3 linked regions of the Ovis aries genome follow. The protein of the gene in region 1 interacts with the protein of each later gene in a biochemical or structural test. Links are inferred from orthologs where the notes say so. Each region holds a gene or a part of one and is shown on either strand. Other genes may lie near its edges.

Region 1 (4,195 bases):
ATTCTTTAAAATTAGTACCCTAAACTAGCAGAGAATAGTCTTCTCTAGAACACAGTTTTCATTTTATTTAAGGCAATTTAAGGCAGTTTTCATTTAAAATGTGAATTTGAGATTTTAAAAATAAGTTTTAAAAGTTATTAGGTTCAGGCCAAGTTTTCCCAAATCTCGTACTTCTACTATGAATTTAAAATATTCTGTCACCCAGGAGCACAAAATTGCCAAGGTTGAGTGTTTGTGCCACATATAGGGGGCCATGTGATAAACTTATTCCATTCCTTATCCTAATCTGGATCATCAAACACATAGTTGTAGAGGGCATGGTAATCAGTATTTGTTCCAGATCTCGATACAGTCAGTGGAAAGACTCTTACTATCCTCAGTTCTATTTTACTTTTTTATTTTCTTAAAGACTTAAGAATGATGTTCAGGTGCAGAAATCTCTTTAGGATATGGTGGAGGGCAATGAAAGAGTTTGGGGATACGGGATTATTTAAAGTGTAATTTAGATCTTTTTCTTCTCCCACAGAAGTGTGAATTTTTGTGTTTTTAAGAACATTTAAAATTCTGATGTGAGAATATTTTAACATTTAAGAAAAGAAAAATTTTGCTTTTTAATTTTTAAGTCAAAATGTTACATAGATTTTAAAAATGAAATTTAAAACAGTGAGGTGAAAACAGCTCAGCCATATATGTGTGTGAAATGTGACAAAAATGTATCTAACTCATATTCATATATATATTTATATATATATGAAAAGTTTCTTTACCCTGTTGAGGACATCTTTCCTAGTTTTCTATTACCTCTTTCTATTAAAACAAACTTTATTTGTTTTGTTTTTTGGCTGCCTTGAGTCTTAAGTTGAGCATGAGGGATCTTCCCCTTGGGACATGCAGAATCATGCTCTTTGACCCAGACTGAGATTCATTATTTTAGAAAAGCATAAATATACATTAGCTTTCAGTATCAGAAATGAAAGTAATGGGATCTGGATTACGTGTAGCACCACTTCTGTGATGAACTATTTGAATACCTCAAATTTTTATTGTGCCAATATTGGGAGAGAAAAAAACCCAACCCTGAGAGGACAGTAGATTTCTTATGACTAGAAACAATAAGACGACCCTATCTTGGAACGCGCTTGCGCTCAGACTCAGTTGGCGCCCGCCCTTCTGCTTTTTCTCCAGCCGCCGTTTCCTCCACCTTTCGCGCTCTAGCCACCCGGGGAGGCCAGCGTTAAGGGAAGCTAGGCTCTGATTGGCTCCTTTAAAAGTCTACGGGCTATCTGATTGGTGAATCCAGGACCCTTTAGCGCGGTGAGTTTGAAACTGCTCGCACTTAGCTCCAAAGCTGGCGCTTGGAAGTTAGGGAGAGCGTCGCCGACTTGGTAGCCGCCGCAGCTTTCGCCGCGGGATAAAGCCGGGTAGCGTTGGTGAGGTCAGGGTGTTGCCTATGGGGTGTCCACTCGGAAGGGCTGGCTCGCGGACCTTGGAGGGGGAGTATTAATGAAGCAGGTGATAATTGGGAGGCTGGGCTCTGGGCAGTGGGGTTCTGCGTACCGCCAAGCCCGGCCTTAACCGGAGGCCCCGGGCCTGCGCATGGAGCGACGCCCAACCTCGGCTTCAGTGGGAGGCGTGGGGGAGCCCAGCCCGGCCAGGCAGGGTTGGCATTGCTGTGGTCTCTGAATTGCAATCTGGGGTCGCGGGCGGCTGAGGAGGCTTTCTGGGGTTGATGGAAGGCAGATTTGTGCCTTCGTTCGCCGACACCAAGCGCTTGTGGAGTGCCAGGCTCTGCCCTGCAGCTCCTAGCTTCGCCTCCGGGAGTGGAAAGCAAGATTGCAACTCAGCCCGGTGCTCGGGCCTGCTTCTAATCCCAGGTGGTCACGGGAAACCGACCGGAAGAACTAACTTGTGGGCCTTCTCAGCTTGCCTCTCTGCTCCCATGACCCTAGCTTACCTGGAGCTTTTAAGAACACTTATCCTGGGCATAGACCCCGAGAGAACTTGGATTTTTTGGATTTTATTTTATGCTTGGTGGTTGTTACATACAATGGAATTGGCAAAAACTGGAAATCTAAGAAACGCCGAGAGTTAGAAACGTGTCATTTAAAATCCTTTAATCAGTTTTAACGTGCAGGTCTTGCTTTCTTTAAAGACCTGGAGGTGTCTGGGTGGATGAAGCCATTGGTATTTTACATCCTGCCACTAGGAATAGAGGAGGCATTCAAAAGGCATTACGAAGCCACATCCTTTATTTAAAATAGTTGCAACCAGGGAAAGGTGAAAGAGTAATTGAACCCAGCTTTGAAATTGAGTTAGTTTTCAGTTATTTTGTTTAAAATAAGCTCCACAGTTTCATTGTGATTTGGGCATATTACAGCTGGATATTGAAGAAAAGATAGTTAGTCCTAATCCATTGCCATTTGTAAAATTGAACATTTTTAAGATGGCCAGAGTAGTGCAATTTTGTTTATTTAAAAAAGTTTATCTCTGCTTGTGTCTGGAATGATTTTGAAAAAGAATGTGAGAAATTTAACTCAAGGGTCAATGTAACTTAAGGTTCAGTGACCTTTATGATTTTATCAGTGATATAAAATGATGGTTTGGGCTTCTGAAGTTGATGTTTCCATGGCAAACTTACCAGGAAGTCTTGAGTATCTGGTTGTCATTTGGGCTTTTTTTTTCTTAACCATTTTTTTGTGTGTGTGATTCAAGTATATGGACATTCTTTGTTCTTGACATTGCATGGGATATAATTAGACTTTATGTATGGAATTGCCCATTTTCTTTTAGAGTGCTTAGTGATATTTCCTACTTTACAAAAGGTATCTTGAAAGTTTTTTTTTATCATGTTTGTGTTACGTGACTCCTGACAACAAGAGAAAGATAAAAACTGTCATTTGAGCAAGTTGAAATGAATATACTTTTGCTGCTTTAAATATTTTCTAATGGTTGAACAGTGTGACCACATTTTAGCTCCCTACTCATGTCTTTAAAAATTGTTTATTAACTTCATAAAAGTATCATGAAGCTACAAATTCAAGTAGCATTCATTGCTAAACTATTTGGGTATAACTGGCGCACATTGATGAGCCTTGGAAGTCTTATGTAAAGAACATCAGGGTTTTCTTTGGGACGGATAGATGTTGATGTCTGAATTTGAAAGTTAATTTTGAAAGAAGCCCCCAGGTGGCTCTAGTGGTAAAGAACCTGCCTGCCAGTGCAGGGAACATAACAGACAGTGGTTTCCATCCCTGGGTCAGGAAGGTACCTTGGAGGAGGGCATGGCAATCCACTCCAGTATTCTCGCTTGGAGAATCCTATGGCAGAGGAGCCTGGCAGGCTCCATAGGATCACACAGAGTCGGACACTGAAGCGACTTAGTATACCAAAGTTATCCAGGTATAGGATATACAAATATTTCCAATGTTTCAGAAGCTAAGAAAGGTGGGAGAGTCTTGAGCTCTTCCCCTTGTAAATATTGTTTTAATAGAATAGCTAATATTATGGAAAAATTTTTAAAAATTTATTTGTATTTGGCTGCACTGGATGTTCATTGCCACAAGTGACTTTCTCTAGTTGAGGCAAGTGGATGCTACTCTCTGTTGCGGTGCACCAGCAAGGTGCACAGGCTTCAGTAGTTGTGATGCTTGGGCTTAGTTGCCCTGTGGCATGTGGAATCTTCCTGGACCAGGGATTGAACCTGTGTTCCCTGCATTGACAGGTGGATTCCTATCCACTGCACCGTGAGGGAAGTCCTATTATGGAAAGTTAGTACTGCTCTAGGCACAGTGGGAAATTCTTTACTTGTAATATCTTATCAATAACTTAAAAGCACCCTTTGAATTGGTGACATGTGATCAAATAAGCTTTTCTTCTCATTTTAGGATCTACCGTACCCACTGATTAACTATGGAAGACTATACCAAAATAGAGAAAATTGGAGAAGGTGAGTGGCTTTAATAATATACAAGGAATTTTAAAAATGATTTAATGGTTTGACATGTAAATATTCAAATTCAGTTTTTAAAGTATCCAACAGTCATTAGTACATTAATATATATGTTCTCATATATATATGCTATATATAGTAGCATAAGCAAAAAAAAAAAGTTAACCTTTCAAGAGCACTGAAATTATTCTGACATGTCTCCCTACCAGCATCCCTCCAATAATCTTACATTCTTCTAATACTAAA
Region 2 (4,227 bases), on another chromosome or scaffold:
GGATGTTAACTGAATCTCTTGTGGTAATCATTTCATGATATGTGAATCAAGCCATTATGTTGTATGCCTTAAACTTATACATTGATGTATGTCAATTATTTCTCAGTAAAACTGGAAAAAAAAAAAAAAAAAAACTGTTGGGAAAATTTAAGGCGTGAAGTGTCCTGATGCCTGAAAGTAACTTTGAAATGTATCAAAAGATGCACTGTTGGGTGGATAGAGGCAAGGATAAATATCTGATAAAGCAAATACAGAAAAAAATGTTAATTGCAGCACCTAAGGGATGCATATATAGGTGTACACTGTATAGTTCTTCCAACTTTTCTGTATGTTTGAAATTTTTTGTAATAAAATCTGCGAGGGGAGATTTTTTTTAATTGAAAAAGAATTGCGAGCCATTATCGTAACTTCTGTTACAAGCTGTAACATACTTTATGAACGTGAGGTAGAGGTAATGAATTAATAATATAAAGTCCTAAAACAGTCCTTAGAATATTTAATACATATTATATATATATTATCAGTTTGCAACAGAGGAAGTGGACACAAATTGGAAGAGATAGGTGCCTCAGTGAATTTCTCTGAGGGCTTTCAGCCCAAAAGTGCTTTTACTTTTTTTCATTAAAGAATAAAGTTAGCAGATAAGTGTGTGTTTATACTTGGTTTTAAACTGATGAGAACTGGGCTCTAATTAAACTGATGAGAACTGGACTCTAAACTTCCCTGAATTTTTAAAGCTCTGATTGAGATATTGGCTCCTCTGTCTATGGGATTCTCCAGGCAAGAAAACTGGAGTGGGTTGCCATGCCCTCCTCCAGTGGATCTTCCTGACCTGGAGATCGACCCCTCATCCCTATGATCGACCCCTCACCACTCTCTCTCCTCCATTTGCAGGCGGGTTCTTTACCGCTAGTGCCACCTGGAAAGCCCAGGTTTCTGGATATTGTTGTTGTTCAGTCGCTCAGTTGTGTCCAACTCTTTGCGACCCCATGGGCTGCAGCACGCCGGGTTTCCCTGTCCATCGCCATCTCCCGGAGCTTGCTCAAACTCATGTCCATTGAGTCGGTGATGCCATCCAACTGTCTCATCCTTTGTGTCCTGCCCTTCTCCTCCTGACTTTAGTCTTTCTGAAGGCAGTATCAGGGTCTTTTCCAATGAGTCAGCTCTTTGCATCAGATGGCCAAAGTATTGGAGCTTCAGCTTCAGCATCAGTCCTTCCAATGAATACTGAGGATTGATTTCCTTTCTTCCCCAACACCTCACAGTTCAAAAGCATCAACCCTTGGACCGCGCTTTTCTCTTTCCTTTTACCAAAGTGAAAACTACACTTCCCATGAGCGCTCACAGGCGTCGACGTCGCGCAGTTCTTTGTCGTCGCACAGCGCCCTTTATACGCACTTCCGCCCGCTTGCCACTTCCTTTCCTTTCGGCGGCTCGCGTCGGCAAGATGGCCGTGCAAATTTCCAAAAAGAGGAAGGTGAGATCCCGGGGCCCGGTTGCAGGGAAGTGGCGTTTCGCGGGTCAGGAGCCTTTCTGGGTGCTATTGCGAGACTTATAGCTCTTCGCTATGCCCGGGGCAGCGGCCGGACTGTGTCGCTTTCCCGTGGGCTGCGGATGGCGGTGGATTGAGCGCAGGCCCGTGGCTGCTGAGAACGGTATGGCTGGGATAGGAGAGAAGGATTTCTGCCGGTTCCGGGCGGAGAGCAGAGATGAGCACTGAGGGCTCCTCCTGCCGTGGAGGAGCGCTTGTGAGCCTTTCTTAGTCAGTAGTTAGTAAAGTTACTAAATGTGATGTTTTGAATGCATGAGCCTTTCCCTCATCGAATGGTAGCTTTGAGAAAGGGAGGTAGCAGTGTTCGCTTGCCTTCTTCCTAGGCTTGTCTGGGTGCAGGCTTCTGACCCCAAGGACCTCAGTTTGGAAGGTTACTGACAATTTCTTGTTCTATCTTGGGGTCAAGGAAACGTTCTGGGGAAATAGAGGGAAGGGACCTGGGGGAAACGGTTTGATTATTTAAAACCCTTCAATGAAGAGGAGATGACGAGTCTGACTGGAGGTGTTCTCTTTGTCCAGGTGACCCCTACCCTGTGCCGCGTTCTGTGGCACAGTTTTAAGGGCCTGGGTCAAAGTTAACTTCCAAAAGATGACTTAGAGGCATTTGTCTGAGAAGGGTTGCTATGTTTTCTCTGGAACAAGGCAAAATAATTAATGATGGGTCGTTGGTTGGAGGTGTTGAATCTTGATTAGGGTTGCATTGACTGGGCTAGAAACCTGAGCCCATGTCCAGATCCTCATTTTCATTTTGCTTTTGGTTAGTTTGTCGCTGATGGCATCTTCAAAGCTGAACTGAACGAGTTTCTCACTCGGGAGCTGGCCGAAGATGGGTACTCTGGAGTTGAGGTCCGAGTTACACCAACCAGGACAGAGATCATCATCTTGGCCACCAGGTGAAAAATTCATTTTTCTGGCCATCACCTGTAATTGTTGTCTGCACTAAGGTGATTTCTTCTGTAAACGTAGCAGAACAACAGTTGAGTCATCGTGAATGAGTTTTTAAGCTGCATTTAAAAAAAAGATAATCTCTTAGTTCTTGTCATCCAAAATTTATGCTTTCTTGTGTCAGATGAATTAGATTTTTACTACCACACGTGTGCAAGGTTTAAAATTACATCTGTAATGTTATGAGAGCTGTGAATTGTCACTCTTCATTTTCCCCAGGACACAGAATGTACTTGGTGAGAAGGGCCGGCGGATCCGGGAATTGACTGCTGTGGTTCAGAAGAGATTCGGCTTCCCTGAAGGCAGTGTAGAGGTGAGTGATCCTGGCTTGTGCCAGAGGCTACTCTGGAGCTAGAAATGGCTCTTCAGGATGGTGCTGTGCTGTGCTTTGTCGCTCAGTCGTGTCCAACTCTTTGTGACCCCCATGGCCCCAAGGCTTCTCTGTCCATGGGGAGTCTTCCAGGCAAGAATTCTGGAGCTGGTTGCCATGCCCTCCTCCAGGGGATCTTCCCAACCAAGCGATTGAACCCAGGTCTCCCCACATTGCAGGCGGATTCTTTACCATCTGAGCCACCAGGGAAGCCCTCTTTAGGATGGTACTTCTGAAAACTCATATTATCACCCTGAAAGCTTACTTGTGATCAGTGAGTATTACAAATGGATTGGTATTTTGTTGAAGGTCTTTTAATAAGCAGTTGGCAGCAGTTTATACCTATCTTGGAATTAGTAATGATACATAGGAGAGGTTGGCTGCCCATTGATCTCCATGATTTGGCTGTGGAAAGAGGTGGGGGTGGGAGAAAAATGAGGAATGGTTCAGTTCAGTCTGCGTCCCTGAGTGTTTGTTAGATGTGGGCATTAGAAGTGCTTTAATACTTGGGTAGTACAGTGAAGGGCTTCCCAGGTGGCTTACTGGTAAGGAATCTGCGTGCCAATGTAGGAGACGCGGGTTCAGTCCCTGAGTCAGGAAGATCTGGAGGAGGGCATGGTAACCTTCACCAGTATTCTTGCCTGGAGAAGAAGAGGACCCTGGTGGGCTGTAGCCAATGGGGTTGCACACTCATCCACTAAATGAGAACAAATAGAGTGATACATAGAGGGGTGTCTGCTTGAATCATGAATGTGCTGATTTTTAGTTGAAAACGGTGGTGATGAGTGTAACAAGTTTAAGAATGTGCCTTGTTTTCTTTAAAGCTTTATGCTGAAAAGGTAGCCACAAGAGGACTGTGTGCCATTGCCCAGGCAGAGTCTCTGCGTTACAAGCTCCTAGGAGGCCTTGCTGTGCGGAGGTAAGAGTCCTTATGAATTGTGTCCTTTCGTGAATCAGTATATCAGCTATTTTGTTAATTTAGTAAGTGGACTCTGGACAGGCTCAGCTAGTCTCTGAGGGCTTTAACAATAAGACATTGTCAATCCATGTTGCAGCCTAGTTAGAAAGACTAGTAAAGACAAGTGTTTAAAAAAGCGAGTGGTGTTAGTAGAGCACGGTGGGAGTATGAATGTAGGATGGGGGTGGGGAATGGTTTGGGTTCATGTTGAAGTCATTCACATACATTGTGTGGTGGTAACTCTGGGGATTCAAGAGAGAAGACTCATTGCTGAGAAGAGAGCTTAAAATCTAGTCAGGTATGCCCAGTAGGTATTTATAGATAGTGATGTGAGGAACAGAGGACATGAGGTGGTTAGATTGGCCCCGGAGCTGGGCTTGCTGATAAGATTTCAGCTGGCAG
Region 3 (4,121 bases), on another chromosome or scaffold:
TCTTTAGGCCAAGTCAGAAACTAACTCAGACTCCTGGAGCATGCCAGCTCAAAGGATGGGGGATATCCTGGAAAATCTCCATGCGACCTGGGGAAATCTACCTACACATTTCTAGTGGTCAACACAAAGATAATCACTTTTACGTATGCATGCAAGGCAAAGCTGGTATAAACGAATTTGTGCTCTTTTTCTTTGCCTAACTATACTAAATCAACAAGCATAGTTTTTTATCACTGCTACTTAAACTAAATACACTCTCAATTCAAACACAAAAAATTTAAAACCAATTCCCCCAAAAACCTTTTCAAACAAAATCTTGTGGCAAGTACAAAGATAGTAATTATCAAATATAATGTACACAAGATGGGGAAAACTGAATTTTGTATTCTAAAAGATTCAAATTTCTGCCAAAATCTGCATAACTAGCTCACCTCCTAACAATGGGCAAGATTATCAGTAGGACTTTTTATAATTACCAACAACTAATATAAATGTAGACAATACTTAGGAACAGCACCTGGAATGTCAGTTCAGTGATGTTGAACACTGCAAAATGTGTAAGACTTTTACACTACATTTCTTTGTCTCCACTTTTTTGAAACCGTAAAATAGAAGGCTGCACATTAGATCAACAGATAAAACAATGCAAATAAGAAGAGTGTCTAAGTGTTTCTAAATTTCGTTCCTTTGAATACGTTCACTTTCCACAAAAATTAATATTTAAGATGCCATTTTCCTAAGTGTTTCCAAGACTTTAAACATTACATTCTCTCACACACCTCCAAAAAGAGAATAGGATTCTCTATATCTAAGACTAGAACCCCATCTATTCCTAACTTTAGGGAATAGGAAAAGGAAATTAAAATGTATCTTGAATACTTTCGTTTTCTTGCAAATAAAATGATCAATAGTTAGGATTACACACTTGCTCTACATTTTATCTCCAAACATAAAATATTTGCTAATGGTCATAAGGAGTAATAGAAAATAAACTCCACAACCAACCCCCCTAGCTCCCTAGTGATCTAAGGGTTAGGATCCCACCCGCTCGATCTCAAACCCCCCTAGAAGTACAGACTACATTCACCTGTGTTAGCATTAGTGTTTTTTAAAAGCTTTTTTAAACTGTTGTTTTAAATGTTGTTTTATGTGACATTGAAACGCCACAAAACTAAGCTGATAACGACCTTTCAAACCCAGCTAGCAAACCGTGCAGCATTTAAAGCATTTTTAAATACCAAAGACATCTTTATTTCCAAATGAATTAAAATTTTACAGATCCCGTGCGACAAAGTAGCTTAACTGCGGACAGCACACGTTCGATTTCTTAGGCAACGAACATTTCTGCAGCCAGTCTTTTCTGACTCAACAAAGCTATTGTTCACGGAAAACAAGTCCAATTAATGAGAAATTGCTAACCATACCATCCAAACACACATTTAGCATAAGCGTTTTCTTTGGACCAACTCTTTGTACCATCTCTTCCCCGTTCATCCCCTAGGGATTCGGGGAACAATCTCTCCTCACTAAATGACAGCTGATTTCGTTAGCACCTGTCGCCAGTCTCACACGAGTTGGCCAAAACAGCCTGGACAGGTTTCTTTTTTTTTTTTTTTTTTTGGAAGATGATGATTCTTCAGAAACTGGGGATTCACCAGGCGTTGAGTTCACTAAGTTTTCCAAAATACCACGCTTCTCGATCCCTCCCGTTCTTCACAAAGTGACCCTGAGGCACCGACTTTTGGGGAGGCGGAGATGGGGGTGGGGGGCCCACAAGGACGCGTGAACTCGACGGAAAGCCCTCCGTAACGAACAAAACCGCGGAGATGGGGGCGGGGGTGGGGGGTAGAACAGCGCGACCCGCCCCTCAAACTTAACGGAGAGCCCCGCCGAGACGACAGAGGCGGCCGGGGACCGCCTGGTCCGAGCGGGGCTCGGGGCCTCAGGGCTCCGGGGCAGCTTTCGGCGGAAATGTCAGCAAGCGCGGACGCCCGAGTCCGGTCTCCGCGCGCCGTCCCGGCCCCCGCGGCCCCGGGCCGAGCCTGCGCGCTCGCGGGGAGGGGGCGTGGGGCCGAGCCCGCCCGCCCGCTCCCCACGCCCCCTCTCCGCCCGCTGTCAGGCCCCGGTGTCACTGCCCCTGACTCGCGCCGAGCTCCCCCGAGACACAGTCCGTCCTTTGTCTCTGAGTGCGCACTCGGCGCTGAGGTCCCATCAACTTGTGTGGGTCCCGTCCCACCCGGGCGCTCCCGCCGCCGTGCCGCTCCACACAAAGGAGACCGGGGGCTCGGGCGGCCGGCCCGCCCCGGGCACCCGAGCGCCCCCAGCCCGGCCCCGGCGCCTCGGGAGGAACGGGCGCGCGAGGGGACCCCCCCCCCCCCGCAAACCCTCCGCTCGGCGCCCGCCCGGGCTCCCGCCTCGGGTTTCTCTGGCTCCCACACAGCCCGCCCGCGGGGGTCGCGCGGATCGGCCCGGGCCCACAGCCCTTTCCGAGGGGGGTGAGGGGAGGTCTCTTCTCACCCCCACGAGCCCCAGAGGCTCCCCGGGAAAGCCCGCTTGTGGGGGTGGGGGGAGGATTACCCGGACCGGCTGAGCGGCAGCGGAGATGTCCCGCCGCCGCCGCCCCACGCCGAGCTCCGGAGCCCCGCCGGCCGGCCGGCCTGCCGGCCCGACAGCGGCGCGTTACCTGCGCCCCGCGCCCCAGCCCGCGCCGCTCCCGCGCGCCGCTCCCGCGCGCCACCGCTGCCGCCGCCGCCGGGGCTCCACCGCCTTCTGCGTCCCAGTGGGTGTCGGACGCTCCCGGACCGAGCGCCAAACCAGGCAGCCCAATCGCCATCGCTTTTATTTGGCCCCCCCTGTCCAACCAAGCGCCGCCCCGATTGGCGGGACGCGAGGCGGGCTCCCGTCCAATCACAGGGCCCGCCGGCCTCTGAGGCGCCGAGCCAGCCCCACGCAGAGGCGCCCGCGGGACTCTGCCGGGCCGGGCCGGCGGCGCGTGCGCGCGGGCGGGCAGGCGCTGAGGGACGCTGCCGCCTGAGTGGAAGCGCCGCGCCGGCTCTTTGTTCTTTTCTCCGAACGCCCGGCGCCTCTCAGGAAGGCGGTGGGGCCGGCGTTCGGGGAAGAAGGGCCTCCGGAGCCCGAATCCCCAAACCGCGGGCGGGAAGGCGGGCTGGGCGGGGTGGCGGGAACCGGCCGGAGGGCGGGACGGCGCGCTCGCGGCGCTTGGCGGGAACCGCCGCTTCGGTGTTCCCGGGCCGGAGGGGCGGGGCGGGGCCGAAAGCCAAGTTTGAACCAGTTCAAAACTCGGGGTGGTAACGGTTTCAACTGCCGCGCTCTTTTTCCCCGCGCGCGCAGCGGAGGCCCTGGCCGGCCGGCCGGCGGGCGGGAAGAGCCGGACACGAGGGCTCGCGGCGCCCGGTCTGCCGGCCAGACGCCCTCTACGGCCCCAGCTCCAGCCCGGCTGGTCTCGGGCGAGGAGCTGCGAGCCTCCCGCCCTCCGGCGTGGCCGATGCGCCGTCCCCCGAGCCGAGCGGAGCGCCCTGCCGGCTACTTTTGTCTGCTGCCGCCCCTCGGCCGCTTGGCCCGACTCGGGTCCCACTGGACTTTGGCTAGTCGATCCCACAGTGCCCATCGCCTTAGAAACCCTGGGAAAGAGAGAAGTCACGATTATTTCAGATTCCTCATTCAGAGCGCCTTGTTCAAACCCTTTCCAGTGTTGCAGTGCCAAGCACGTGTCAGCGTTAAAAATCATTTATCAAGGATGATTGTTCATGTCCCTCGTGCTAACTTCTCTACAAAGTATTAAGATGCCAGCATTTTTCAAGTATTAAAAAAAAAAAAAAAGATCATGGGGTGAGCCTGTCTCCACCCAGAGGAGTTAGTGCTATTCCACTTAGGATACAGTCGCCCTTTTTGATTTATCTGGCAGTGAAGTTAAGGTTATTCCGATTTTTTTTTTTAGTAGGGTGTAACTATAGGGCAAAGTAACCCCCTCACCCACATAAACTGAGATTCCAAATTGAGAGCTCACGTGCGGGGCAGGGAAGACGGTCACCTATGAGCTCGAGCTAAAAGCCTAACGGAATCATGCTTTAACGGAATCATGCTTTTAGTATTTTATTTAA

What was found.
Region 2: of the proteins of CDK1 (region 1) and RPS3, one has a biochemical effect on the other in vitro, tested with the Homo sapiens proteins (2 studies listed by BioGRID, with this or other methods). The link is inferred for Ovis aries from reciprocal best matches to the Homo sapiens genes CDK1 and RPS3.
Region 3: of the proteins of CDK1 (region 1) and EZH2, one has a biochemical effect on the other in vitro, tested with the Homo sapiens proteins (5 studies listed by BioGRID). The link is inferred for Ovis aries from reciprocal best matches to the Homo sapiens genes CDK1 and EZH2.

The regions. Positions count from the first base shown.
Region 1 is NC_056078.1:15,814,871-15,819,065, forward strand, and holds the start of CDK1 (cyclin-dependent kinase 1), read left to right. Parts: upstream 1-1,350; 5' UTR 1,351-1,421; intron 1,422-3,884; 5' UTR 3,885-3,909; coding exon 3,910-3,946; intron 3,947-4,195. UniProt on the Homo sapiens protein: Plays a key role in the control of the eukaryotic cell cycle by modulating the centrosome cycle as well as mitotic onset; promotes G2-M transition via association with multiple interphase cyclins.
Region 2 is NC_056068.1:53,317,460-53,321,686, forward strand, and holds the start of RPS3 (small ribosomal subunit protein uS3), read left to right. Parts: upstream 1-1,417; 5' UTR 1,418-1,447; coding exon 1,448-1,477; intron 1,478-2,019; exon of another isoform or gene 2,020-2,169; intron 2,170-2,314; coding exon 2,315-2,445; intron 2,446-2,716; coding exon 2,717-2,810; intron 2,811-3,691; coding exon 3,692-3,786; intron 3,787-4,227. UniProt on the Homo sapiens protein: Component of the small ribosomal subunit. The ribosome is a large ribonucleoprotein complex responsible for the synthesis of proteins in the cell. Has endonuclease activity and plays a role in repair of damaged DNA.
Region 3 is NC_056057.1:113,214,563-113,218,683, forward strand, and holds the start of EZH2 (histone-lysine N-methyltransferase EZH2), read right to left. Parts: upstream 2,811-4,121; 5' UTR 2,684-2,810; intron 2,594-2,683; exon of another isoform or gene 2,578-2,593; intron 1-2,577. UniProt on the Homo sapiens protein: Polycomb group (PcG) protein. Catalytic subunit of the PRC2/EED-EZH2 complex, which methylates 'Lys-9' (H3K9me) and 'Lys-27' (H3K27me) of histone H3, leading to transcriptional repression of the affected target gene.